3 linked regions of the Oryzias latipes genome follow. The protein of the gene in region 1 binds, or shares a complex with, the protein of each later gene. Links are inferred from orthologs where the notes say so. Each region holds a gene or a part of one and is shown in the gene's direction. Other genes may lie near its edges. The genes, in order: mapkap1, rictor and mlst8.

What was found.
Region 2: the proteins of mapkap1 (region 1) and rictor are in contact, whole or in part, in a cryo-EM structure (PDB 7PE7), measured with the Homo sapiens proteins. The link is inferred for Oryzias latipes from reciprocal best matches to the Homo sapiens genes MAPKAP1 and RICTOR. Residues at the interface, in NP_001006618.1 of Homo sapiens: Ala2, Phe3, Leu4, Asp5, Asn6, Pro7, Ile9, Ile10, Leu11, Ala12, His13, Ile14, Arg15, Gln16, Ser17, His18, Thr20, Ser21, Asp22, Asp23, Thr24, Met26, Cys27, Met29, Val30, Leu31, Ile32, Asp35, Val36, Ser84; in NP_689969.2 of Homo sapiens: Arg108, Gln137, Glu140, Thr144, Leu147, Arg148, Arg151, Lys152, Thr155, Arg182, Met183, Arg185, Ala186, Ala189, Cys192, Glu193, Leu196, Leu220, Arg222, Ile223, Glu225, Ala226, Leu227, Thr229, Thr230, His233, Asn236, Arg293, Trp295, Glu844.
Region 3: the proteins of mapkap1 (region 1) and mlst8 are in contact, whole or in part, in a cryo-EM structure (PDB 7PE8), measured with the Homo sapiens proteins. The link is inferred for Oryzias latipes from reciprocal best matches to the Homo sapiens genes MAPKAP1 and MLST8. Residues at the interface, in NP_001006618.1 of Homo sapiens: Lys102, Cys103, Lys104, Asn105, Ile106, Gln107, Trp108, Lys109, Arg111, Asn112, Ser113, Lys121, Leu123, Phe124, Glu125, Lys126, Lys127, Ser128, Leu129, Gly137, Lys138, Gln139, Ser140, Ile141, Leu142, Val144, Arg145, Leu146; in NP_001186102.1 of Homo sapiens: Ala29, His30, Pro77, Ile78, Ile79, Ser80, Tyr81, Asp82, Gly83, Arg98, Arg110, Ile111, Trp112, Gln120, Cys121, Gln122, Arg123, Ile124, Asn139, Gln140, Ala141, Leu157, Lys158, Ile203, Glu206, Ser279, Gly280, Asp281, Gln283, Asp322.

What each region holds. Positions count from the first base shown.
Region 1 is NC_019870.2:25,040,476-25,044,806, forward strand, and holds the start of mapkap1 (target of rapamycin complex 2 subunit MAPKAP1), read left to right. Parts: upstream 1-1,401; 5' UTR 1,402-1,587; intron 1,588-4,303; 5' UTR 4,304-4,331. UniProt on the Homo sapiens protein: Component of the mechanistic target of rapamycin complex 2 (mTORC2), which transduces signals from growth factors to pathways involved in proliferation, cytoskeletal organization, lipogenesis and anabolic output.
Region 2 is NC_019867.2:18,765,648-18,769,765, reverse strand, and holds the start of rictor (rapamycin-insensitive companion of mTOR), read left to right. Parts: upstream 1-1,265; 5' UTR 1,266-1,283; coding exon 1,284-1,332; intron 1,333-1,457; coding exon 1,458-1,505; intron 1,506-3,767; coding exon 3,768-3,865; intron 3,866-4,118. UniProt on the Homo sapiens protein: Component of the mechanistic target of rapamycin complex 2 (mTORC2), which transduces signals from growth factors to pathways involved in proliferation, cytoskeletal organization, lipogenesis and anabolic output.
Region 3 is NC_019877.2:3,131,038-3,135,213, reverse strand, and holds the start of mlst8 (target of rapamycin complex subunit LST8), read left to right. Parts: upstream 1-1,342; 5' UTR 1,343-1,591; coding exon 1,592-1,720; intron 1,721-2,233; coding exon 2,234-2,285; intron 2,286-2,355; coding exon 2,356-2,518; intron 2,519-2,590; coding exon 2,591-2,666; intron 2,667-2,742; coding exon 2,743-2,895; intron 2,896-2,978; coding exon 2,979-3,103; intron 3,104-3,185; coding exon 3,186-3,349; intron 3,350-4,176. Other genes in the region: meiob (meiosis-specific with OB domain-containing protein), read left to right, coding at 1-70, 144-330, 423-509, 593-706.

The sequences.
Region 1 (4,331 bases):
TTTCCGGTTTCGTGTAGCTAAACCCAGAGCGAGGGCCCACAGCGAGATCCGCTGCTGACCGCAGATAGCTCCGCCCCCTCCCACCGACTGCTACGATGCTCTTCAGTGGACGCCTCGCAGAAAACCTTCCACTTTACAGGCTCCGATTCATTTGTTCTATGGTTTATAAGGGGGACGCAGACAAATGAGGAAAAAGAAATTCAGGAACAAAACACAGCGCAGAATAGGGATGCTTTAAAACTCATTTTACCACGTGGTTTCATCATTAAAGCGGATTGTGGAGAAAGCATTTTTGCATCCTCAAAGCAAACCATACTGTGGGGCTGAAAAGGTTCAAGCCAATGATAATTGTGTTTGGTTTTAACGTGTTCTTTTAACATTTCTCTGATGATTGAGGAAATGTATAGAGAACATTTAGCTCAAAACTGCATTTTTTTGTATTTCTTTATTCAAATTGTTGTGAATCAGGAGCAGACGAAAAAGTTCTGTTAGGTAATGTTTGCAATGTGGTTACATAAATATACTTTTATGTTTGTGTATATATATATCCAGACAAATACCAGTAGATCCAATTTTTTTACTGTAAGATTGGATAAAGGCACAGGCAGTGGGGGGCAATGCCCCCCTAAATACAGTGACTGCCCCCTAAATGTGATGGGCCACAAAAATCCACAAATAACTACAGGAATAAAAAAATAAAACAACTACAAGTCAAAAAAATGTAAGTATTTATGTATATGGAAGGACACACAGGCAAAGATACATAAAAAGAAAAAGGGTAGTGGTAGAGGGTGGTCTTCTTCAAACTGCTCCTGATTCCAAACAATTTGAATAAATAAACACTCAGAAATGCCATTTTAAGCTGAATTTTCATTATGGATGTCCTCTATCATCAGAAAAATGAGAACATGAACATGTCAAAAACATGTTCTTGTGGCAAAAAATAAGAATTTCACCAGAGTGGGTCTTTAAAGAGAGAGATGGAAATCTGTTGACAGGTTCCACAAGTGTAATGGAAAGATGGAAGAACTTTGAAGATCTCAAAAATATCCATGTAAATAGAAAAGGTTCTTGCAAATTTTTGCTGCGATAATTCTTTTTACTCATGATCGCACGATTTTGCAGCCACATTTCTATTTCATGTGATGATACTTTGAACTTGCAAAAGCATAATTTTATCTTGCTCTGGCATCTCTCTCTCTTTTTTAACTTTTCTTTATTTTTTCACTTTCTAGTGTGAAGTGCATTTGGATGTGTGCACAACATTTTGTAAACGCTGAAATACTAGTAAGGAATAAAGGTGCATATAATTCAGTGTTCCTTTACTTTCACTGCCTCGGTCAGTGAACTGCTCTTGTGCGTGTTTTTCGTTTGGTGGCTCTTTTATTGTGAAGAGATTACACCGGAAGTCAAAAGGATGTCTTCCTGGTTGCACGAGCGCAGCAGATTGCATTGGCTTTCGGTTGTTTTGAGACTTTAATGCATTGAATTGTTTTTCACGGATGTAACGACTCGTCGGCCAAATAAGTAGACTGGATGAGATGGAGGGACGTGGACTCTGCTGTGTCTCGTCAGAAAAACGTAGAGGTGGGATCTTCTTTCTGTTCATACCACTGCTATTGCTAACTGACTCGGGAGAGATAATCGTTAGCTTGAGTTTAGTCACCGCTAACCGACTGTAATGCGATCTGTAAGCTGTTCCTGTCATGTTACACGCTTATAAAGTATGAATCACTTCAGTCTGTAGATCCTCCTGCTACTTTTTGGAGCAGCTGAAATGGATTTTGTTGTAATTCAGCTGGTTTAAGTGAGCCATTTTGGTTAGGAAAACAAGGTGCTGCTAACGCAAAACATGATGATGATCTGATAAATGTACACAGAACTTTTTAATCCGATTGTTTAACTTCTACCTTCTTAAAATGATAAACTCCGACACAAATTTGTATTTACTGACATGTGGTGTTTGTTTCAGTTGTGTCGTGTGTTTTACACGAGCGTGTTTTTCCTGTGAGAACTTTCCCCAGATAAGACTGTGTCCTCAGCTGAAATGACCGTCAGACATCATTTACAGCTGTTACAGTGGGAACTGTTACGTCATCACAGTGATTTCTGTGCTCATAATCCGTTTTCTTGATGGTGAAGTGTTCTTCTCAGCTGCCCATGCGCTCAGCGCCGTCATCTGCCTGTTGTAGCTGTCAACATCCGTGTTTAGACTAAACACTGTGAACAAACTTCGTGTTTTCAGATGTGACACGACTTCTGATTCTTCAAAAAAAAAAAAGTTAGCGTTGTGCCCAAACACTAAAAAACACTGGCATTTGTCTGATGATAGAGGACATATATAAAGAAAATTAGGCTCAAAACTGTATTTCTGAGTATTTCTGTGTTCACGTAGTTGTGAATCAGGAGCAGACAAAGAAATGCTGTTAGAAAAAGCTTGTTGTAACTGAAGCTACTGCAGAAAGCCACAAGCTTCCTGCCCCTCCTCATTCTAATGCATCCACTCATGGACAACTTGTTCCATGTACATCTTTGTTTTCCCTGTCTGAGCTGGAATCTGGATCAAAACTGTATGGCTGGACAGCGCCAATATTGCTCACCATTTTTATCGCAGTGCTCATGTTAAGGCCCGTACACACCGGGACGAATATTCGCCAGGCGTTATTCGCCAGCGTTTTTCGCCACGTTTTTTGTGTTCACACCCAGGCGATTTCCACTGACGATGAGCCGAGCGAACATGCAATTTCCTTCCCTGACATTAGATGGCGCTTAATGTAAACAGAAATACTCCTGTACACAAGGTGGCGCTGCGCAACTTTACGCTTATTAAAGTCGCTTTTCACTCAGAAGAAGAGAGCAAGTATTTACGCGCTTGTCAGAATCAAACAAAGAAAACATGAATATTTCAAGCACCAGTTGCTCCAACTGGTGCTTGGTTCGGGGATATTTTAGAATGTCCGTCATTATTTCTTCGCAGCAGTGTAGACGCTACTTGGCGTCTATCTTCTTCGCTGGTATGTGTGCTCAGCAAGGCAGTTTTGTGTTTGAGCGCCCCCAAGTTGTGTTTTACTGTAACTTCAGAAGCTCCAGACATGTGTGCAAAAGCGCCATTCTCATTGGTCGAATAGATTTCGACGCGACGCGTCGAAAAAAAAAAAACGAACCCGAGGCGTTTTTTTTTTTGACGCTTTGACGCCTGGCGTTTTTTCGCGTCGGTGTGCACACTCCCATTGGTGCCCTTTGTTTAGTCACGAGGCGTTAAACGTCGGCGAAAATCGCCAGCGAAATTCGTCCCGGTGTGAACGGGCCTTTAGGTTGGCGTTGTTAGAGGCTCTAAGCTAGTTGGAGAGACTGTAAACAGATTGGTGACGGGAAGTGGTGGTGGGCTAGCTATGTGCCACTGGTCAACTCAGAGAATCTCTAATGAACTCCTGCTGCTCTGCAGAAACCATGCCATAGAAAACTACACATAAAACAGCATAAACATAAAGAAAGACTTCTGAGAATGCTTTTTGCAATAGATCAAAAGATGATAGGAGCGGGACTTCAACATCAATATTGAAAATAACCAAAAAAACATGGTTCAAATACATTTTGGCAATTGACTGTATAAGAGAACTGGACTTGCCGACCCCTCCCCCTGGTGTTCCTAACAGGAAGTACGCGCTGGCCCCAAGAAGCCAAAATCCTATAGACTTCTATATAGAAATAAACAGCTGTTAATCAGTCATTCTGTTGGTCAGAATAACCATTCTTGCTCCGATACCTTTTTTGAACATGTTCTTGATAATCCTATTTTTTCTAATAATATTTTTTCTTTAGTACAAGCTAATCATGTTATAAACTGACCAATCATGGGTCTCAATAAAAGCGTGTGGCCTCATGTTCAAAGATTGATTAACAGATTTTGTGCAGTCCGCTTTAAGTGGTAGGGGTGTGGCCTTTCAACAAGCTCTCTCTGGATTTGTGAGAGTGGTTGCCATAACAATGTTGACTCTGATTGTCTTAGACCAATCACTCCTTGCTAACATTGTCTGACTCCCAACCTGGCGACGTCCACATTGCAAAAAATGGTGACTGAAGTTACTTCAATTGGTTGGAACCAGAAGTAAGCCAATTTTCTGTGAGTGACGTCACACTTACTCTGTCCAGTTCTCATATTCAGTCAATGAGTTGGATTGACCCACGCATTTCATAGTTCTAAACAAAAAGAAAATCTATATTCACAAACATTTTTCAAAACAAAACAAATATGTTCTAGTTGTCTGTCTGATCGTTTTTCTGGTTGTTTTCCTTTTTACAGGGCCTTTTACATCTTCATCAGTGGACGT
Region 2 (4,118 bases), on another chromosome or scaffold:
TCAAACTTTGGATAATTAATCATATAAATAAATATTGCTTGAAAGGGAGTGGAAGGAAGCGAACTTATATAAACCCACCCCTGTTCTACCGTAACCATTTTATAACATGATTTATCATTATCCGGTTAAGTGGCCATCTTTTTTCTGTCTTGGTTTGTGTTCGTAAAGCATTAGCGCCATCTAGTGGTTAATGTGGTCATAGCAACCTGAGTTTTCTTGCAGCTTTTAAAAAAAAATGATAATATAACAACTGAAAATGTTGAAACATTCGTCTTTTACTTTTGGTACCTCTGTTTTTTAATGAACCAGTTATTCTGTAATTTACACGTCTTGAATTTTTTGCATGAAAGAAGTCTTTGGTATCACAACGTTAGTAAAAACAAACACGTTTTTTACTCAAGAGAGAAGCTAAAAATAATTCATGTATTGTTCATCGTTTAGAGTACACTTCTATGAACTCAAGTAACAAGCTCTGTGGGACCAGCTGTCATAAACTATACAGCGACAGACATCAAGACTCATGATCAAGACTCATGAGGTTGGAATGAAAAAGTAGGTCAAGGTCTTTCTGTAATTGCAAAATCATTTAAGCAGGCTAATGCAACAAAAATCCCTTTGGGTTTGAACAAAAATAGTCTCTGAGAAGATGAAAGAATTATGTTTTTGCTGATATGTGTGCAGAAAAAGGAGCTGCAGTGATGTCCAAATCCTCTAAGCAGGTCCATTATGTGCACTACTTGTGTTGTACTTATTATTGTTATTTATTCTTTGAATATTTCCTATTTGTAACAATAACTTTAACATAACACAACTTGCCTTAAATCAAGTTAGAACATATTATTTTTTGTTTTCAACTTAAATATTTCCCTAAAGTTAGGATAAAAACATACGTTTAAACCATATTACAAAACATTTTGCACAAATTATTCCTGTCACTAAATCCCAATCATACATGAAAACATGAACCATGACACAAACTCAAACAAAAAAACTAAGATTTGTTTTTATAAAAACAAATTTAGCAAATTGGTCATGCTGAAAAATATTAATAAATAAATATTACATTTGCAATTAAAACTCGAATACTGCTGCTAACTAAACTGTTTATTTCTGTCGTTCAGTCGCCAGGTCAGATTATTTTTTCATTGCCGTTGGAGGTTAAGGGATTAACTGGGATTCGCCTGATCCCAGATCTGTGATTTGCACCGCAGCGATTTGCGTTTGATGTCCGTGTTCTCGCGACATTCCGCGAAGTTTCCGGTGTTGTGTATGTTCCTGGAAACATGGCGGCCAGCTTCCGCGGCCGTCCTATCCGGAGTCTTCGGATGCGAGGTAAGCGTGAAAAACTCAGCTCATAATTTGTTGGAATGGCAGCGTATTGCAATAAGAGCACGTCTCCCACAAAACATAGCATTGAATTTGTCCTTCAGCGTTTCCGTTGCGTTTGTTTTTGTCAGGGCGGAATGACAGCGGGGAGGAGAACGTACCGCTGGATCTGAGTAGAGGTAAGCAGAGGCTCATCATTCTAAAAGCTATTATTGCTCAAAATGGATTATGGTTGACTTTATGCACAAAATATACGAACCTCTAAATGAACCACGAGATTGCCACGTGGATGCATTTTTAATTAAACGTTTTATTTGTTGTTGTTTTGTTCAAAAATCTTCCTTTGTGGCTATAAACAGGCGAGAGGGAGCTAACTAGCTAGCTGATTTAGCGTTAGCTGGCTGCCACAGCTAACCAGTCATGACGATGCGCTGTTGTTTTGGTAGGCGTGAGTGGGCTGCAGAGCCTGCTATTTAGCGAGACAGCCATTAGAGTTGCATTAATACACGAGGCTCCGCTGGCTGTCAGAAACCCTGAGCTTAAGCCGGTTTGCTGAGCAATGCACATACGGGCTTTTTTTTTTTTATTCACAGCTCAGCCGAGTTAAATTTGCTCATCTAGCAACAGCACTGTCTGCTTGTTTGTTTACACCAACCAGCGGCTGTTTTCTTTGTTTGGAACCTTTTGCGGCTGCTAGGCACACTTGACTCACGATAAAAGCACGATCAACGAGTTCTGATGGAAACATTTCGGTCCTAAATTAGGAAAACGATTACGAACATAGTTTGTGTTTTTTGTCAGCTTAGGTTTTTATATAAAACGTATCTTACTGGAACAAACTCAACCATTGATGGGGGGTATTCCAGAAAGTAGGTTATGCTATTTACCACGATAAGTTTGAGGCTAAGGAAGCGGATAGCCTCAGCTTTTGGTTCCAAAAACAGTGGTATGTTTCAGGGTATGTGAAGTTGCTATAGCAACTCATGCTCTGAACATAACCTGGTCTGGAGCAGGTTTAGTTGAAGGTTAGTTGGTTTCAGAGAGGTGAAGGAGCATGCAGTGTCCATTTGAAGATGATTTAGTGGATGAAGAAGCTCAGATAATACTTTTTCCACCATGAGAGGGTGATAAGACCACGTATGGATGTTGGAAAGATGAACTTTTTTACATTAATCTAACTTAATTATTTGCTTCAGTTAAGATACATTCTTTTTGTTACATGAGCTTAAAAAGAACACTAAGTTATCAGACAGTTATTTTACTTTAATTCAAATTAATTCAATTAAGTAGGTGTAACTTTGGTGCTGCTGTTAGATCGGCGCTGCAAGGAATTGTGGGATACCATTCCCTTTGCCTGTCTGGACGGATTTGGGTTTAAGTGTGGGTTTTTGACCAAATGTGTTTAGTTGTTTATCTGTTTTACTGTGTATTTCCGAGTTATTTGTCCTGTTGTGTTTAATTCTTTCTGCACCATGAGTGAGAGGGAGGGAGAGAATGATGAGGTTATTTAGCACCCCTACTGCTCAGTGTTGTAATGTCAAAGTCAGAGAAAGGATAAATGACTTTAAGTTTTGTGTTGTGAATCTATATTGTTTCATTCATTTTAATGTTATAAAAATGAGAATATCTACAGGCTCAAATGTAGACATATGAGAGTTCAAGAAATACAATAAATTAAGATGGAAAGACATTTAATTGAATTGGAGTAATATGACATTTAGTTAGAAAAATATGTAAATTTGAGATTTCAGCCAGAGTTCAGGGTTAAAGTCAGGGTAGTTTAAACATGCTTCCTGGATTACCCCCCAGGAACGTTTATAATGCAATAACACCACTGTTTCTTAAACGATTGATCGATTTTTGCTTCACGGATAAGAAGCTAAAGTTTAAGGTATATTTATACACCAGTGCTTGTTTGCCTTTTTGCTTTTGATACTTTTATCTTAGCATCATATAGGAAATCTTCTTAAATGTCAACCTCAGTTAAACCATTTTCGTGGTATTCTATTGTTTTGTTTTGTAGCTGTACGGATTTTTCCCCCTTTGTATTTGAAGTTCTAAATCTTGTTAAAATATCAGTTTTTTTTATGGAGAGATAATATAAGACAATTTAAAACATAATCTGGGATTAGGATGGTCTATTTACGTGTTTGTGAAATGGATTTCTTCATTGATTGGTATATCTGACATTAGTTTCTACAGATATTAGATGTCTACATATGAAATAACCTCGCAAGTGTTTTAATATTTTATCAAATAATTAACATTAGATGAATTGTTGGAAAGCAAAGTCTAACTTGCTCGACTTTGCTTTTTGCTATAAAGGTCTAGTTTTGACTGCATAAACGTAAAACTAGTAAACTAATTGATAGCCCTTTCCTTTTCTCCTGTAACCACAGAGCTATTTTGTCCACTGAAATGGTCTTTTTGTTTCCCTCTAGAACCATCAGAAAACTTCCGGGAAATTCTTCAAAATGTGGCTAAACCACACGGAGTTAGCAACATGCGAAAACTGGGCCACCTGAACAACTTCATAAAGGTAAGAATGCTGCAGCATTTTTTTGCTCCACATGCAGCTTTTTAAGGAAGATGACTGTAGATATATTGAATGACTGATCAACTACTCTTCCTCTGAAATGTAGCTGCTGACCTGCTGAGGTTTATACCACAGTTTAGATTAAAAAAAAAAAAAAGCTCTGGGGATAGAAATGCATCATAAGCTTCTATTCAACTAGAATAACCTGCTGGCTATAAAACTAAAATAATATATATATTTTTTTACTGTAAACCCT
Region 3 (4,176 bases), on another chromosome or scaffold:
GCCTGACTTACAGCTTCATCTCCAAGCTGGACCTGGACTCCTCTGCCTCTAAAGTCATCAAGACCCGCTGGTACGATCGCACCAAAGTCACGGCCTCCTTCTTTCCTTCCATCTGTCCGTGCTTCGATTTGGGCTTTTTTCAGCTCTAAATGTAGGTTCCTGCTGACGGCGGACATGCAGAGCTGCGGTAACCAGCTGTGTCCGGGCGGGGAGCAGCCGTTCTCAGGCACCACAGGCTTCGACCTGCTGGTGGACCTGACCGACCACACCGGCACGCTGCAGGCCTGCAGCCTCCGGGGCGCCACGGCGGAGCAGACGCTCGGCTGCTCGGTCGGTAACTCCTCAGAGGCTGAGGGGGGGGGTCAGCTCCAAACTGCTGAGATCCACAGACTTCTCTTAAATATGCTGCTGCCTGCTTCCAGACGGACGAGTTCATCCGTCTGACCGATGATCAGCGCACCGCTCTCAAGTGGAAGTTTCTTCTGGAAAGATGCAAAATATACCTGAAGGTATTCCAGCCTTCAAAAGGCATGTTTTTTTTTTTTTTGTCTTTGTGATGTGTTTTTATTGTTCATGAGATCGTCTGCCGCAGATCCTTCCCTCTGCGAGAACGAAAAGCGGCATCAGGGGGGTGATCCTGGCCTGCTCTCCGGCCGACCCAGGAGAGGTGAAGCAGCATATGTCGGCTGTTCTGCAGCAGCTTTGAACCAGCAATGCGAAGTCTGTTCTATTTACATTTGTTCTGCGCTAATTACAATGTAAACAGATGCTTCAACTGTTATTTATTTATTTATTCTTATTTATTTAACTTATTGATATAAATTGATTTATTTAAAAAAAGGCGTTAAATTGTTCCTGTTTAATAAAGTTGTGTTTTGAAAAAAAATTCTGATTTATTATCACAAAATACAATTAAAAAAGAAAAAAAAAACAAAAGCAACTGTTATAAAAAAAAGTATATTTAAAATAAAAAGAATGATGTAGATTTTATGTAGCGACAATAAATGCTTTATTTAAAGCAATTTTAACCATAAAAAAAGAAAAATATGTATTAAAATTTTGAATTCATAAAAATGATTAAAAAGAAATAAAACAATATGTTTAAATATTTTTTGACATATTACTCTGAATCATAAGGAGACATATTTGCACATTTATTGTAATGATTGCCAAATAAAAGTTGATTAATTACCTGAAAGAGTGTGGGAAAAGGCGATTTTATGATTCTACCTCTATTATGATTTATTTTTTATTATTATTATTTTACATCGTTGCATTCCTGCATTTAAACAATTTTTTTTTCAAAGCGGAACGTTTGACACACTTCTGTGTTTATCGGGGACGCGTTAGTCAGACGTACCGCAGTCGCGAATGATGGCTTCAGGAAATCTGTAAAGCGAATTCTTATCAGATTTTTAGATGTTTTCTCACATTCAGATATTTTTAAAACGGCTTTTCTTTAAAAGAGTTAACTTCAAAAAGCTTGAGCTGACGTCGTTGGCCGATCGTTTGGACCGAGTTCGTCAGATGTAACTAAGTGGACTGACGGGTTCTGGTGTTGTTTGTAACCGTGACACACTAGCGGAGAAGCATGAATGTCAACCAGGGCACGGTGGGCAGCGACCCGGTTATCCTGGCCACGGCTGGATACGATCACACAGTCCGGTTCTGGCAGGCCCACAGCGGGATCTGTACCCGGACGGTGCAGCATCAGGACTCGGTATCCTTTCCCTGGTTAGAACGGTTCGGTGAGAGCTCTCTGTTTACATGCGCTACCGCTGGCTTACAGCCGCTCACACCCCAACCTGACGAAATGGCCCCCAATTTCGGAGCTTTACTGAATTGAAAAACAAAATTATGACTTTAGTCTCGTAAAATTTTACATTTTTATTGTTGTTTATACTTTTACAAATTTATTAGTGTAATTTTTTTTTACTTTTTAATAATAATTTTACTACGGAACGGTATTATGTTAAATAAAAATAAAATACAGGTGACCTTTGCTCTAACTTGTTTGACATAATCCGTTTTTGTTTTGTTTTTGTTTGATTCACCACACACACTAAAAATAAAACCATCAACTGTTAATTAAATGCAATAGGCTTAATATTTTACAGCATTATTCTCATACATAATATGTATTTTGTTGTAGAAAAATGCTATAAAAGGCATATATATGCTAAATACCTCAAAAACGCGACTTTCGGAGTGGGCCTTTAACTCGTCATTTCAGCAAGTGAATTCCCTTGAAGTGACCCCGGACAGAAGCATGATCGCCGCCGCAGGTCAGTCCAAACTCTCCCATTTGAAGGCTGCGCGGCGTTTCACTGCGCGTTCCTCCTCTTCCTCCTGCAGGGTATCAGCACATCCGCATGTACGACCTGAACTCCAACAACCCAAACCCCGTCATCAACTACGACGGAGTCAGCAAGAACATCACCTCCGTGGGCTTCCATGAGGACGGACGCTGGATGTACACCGGAGGAGAGGACTGCATGGCTCGCATATGGGACCTAAGGTACGGCGGTTCACCTCCACCGCACACCCCGGCAGAAATCCACTCTGCTGTTATCAACCCTCCTCCTTTCAGGTCAAGAAACCTGCAGTGTCAGAGGATCTTCCAAGTAAACGCTCCCATCAACTGTGTGTGTCTTCATCCCAATCAGGTATCCTCAAAGCTGCACAGGTGTTTGATGTGGATTTATCTGTAGATTTGTCAGCGTTTTGTGATTTTTCTTTTAGGCGGAGCTGATTGTTGGGGATCAGAGTGGCGTGATTCACATCTGGGACCTGAAAACGGACCACAACGAACAGCTGATTCCAGAGCCAGAAGTCTCGGTGAACTCTGTCCACATCGACCCCGATGCCAGCTACATGGCAGCCGTCAACAGCTCGGTGCGTCCCCAAACTGAACATGGGACGCAAAAACTGGGGTTGGAGAGAAACTAGAGTGAGGTTCCTGTTCCCCCCCCCAACAGGGAAACTGTTACGTGTGGAACCTGGCTGGAGGGATGGGAGACGAAGTGACGCAGCTCATTCCAAAGACGAAGATCCCGGCGCACAAACGATACTCGCTGCGCTGCAAGTTCAGCCCCGACTCCACGTGAGGCTTTTTGTTGTTTCTGCCTGACGTGAGGCCAAACAGAAAAAAAACCTCATTGATGTTTCTCCTTGAATGTCTCCAGACTACTGGCCACCTGCTCAGCGGATCAGACCTGCAAGATCTGGAGGACGTCCAACTTCTCCCTGATGACGGAGCTGAGCATCAAAAGCAACAACCCCGGGGAGACGTCCCGAGGCTGGATGTGGGACTGCGCCTTCTCCGGAGACTCGCAGTACATCGTTACAGGTGCGTACCTTCACCTTTGGGTCTGTCCCCTTGTCCCGCTGAGTTTTTAAAGTTAAAAATGGCATGTTTTAGCAAACTTTAATATAAAATTAAAGCCGTAAACGGCGTTGCATGACCTGCAGAGGACACTGCCCCCTTTTGAACCGCCTTCACCCTCCCCTTCTGCCAGTCTGGTCACAAATTCATGAAAGAGAACACTTTTATTCAAAAGTGCGGCTTTTCTGATGGTTTTATCTCCATGGCAACCATTTCAGTTTTTGGTCACCGCGGGGTGACGAACAGGTTTCGGTCATTTTTAGAAGAATCTGCAAAAGTAGATTTTTGGATTTCCTTAGCAACGTAGGATTTTTGTTAACCACACCCACATTTCTTATATGTTCATATTGTTTGTCATATCGTTTGGTTCAGCTTGAGCAGAGGTGCGCTCCATTTTCTCAATATTCCGGTAAAAAATGCGCCCACAACAGGAAATCGCCACTTTTGTGAACTCGCCGTTCAAAATCCACAAACTTTATTTCCAAAATTCCAATTAGTTTCCCAAGGACACCGCTCCAGGAGTCAGGAGGCGATTCTTAGGAGGAGTTTAAATTTGTAGCTGGGACTAAACGGGATAAATATGTATTTTTTTACAAAATTCAAGATGGCAGCTTCTTCCCGAGGTCAAAGGTCAATGAAACTTCAGCTCTTGTTGAAGACTTTTGAATTGTAAATTGTAGAATAAATTGTAGACGAATGTGAAAATCACCAAACGTCACTCTCTGCCACACAGTGACCACCAAGCCGTGGCACCTGTGGCCATCCCATAATAATTAAAAAAACTTCCTTCC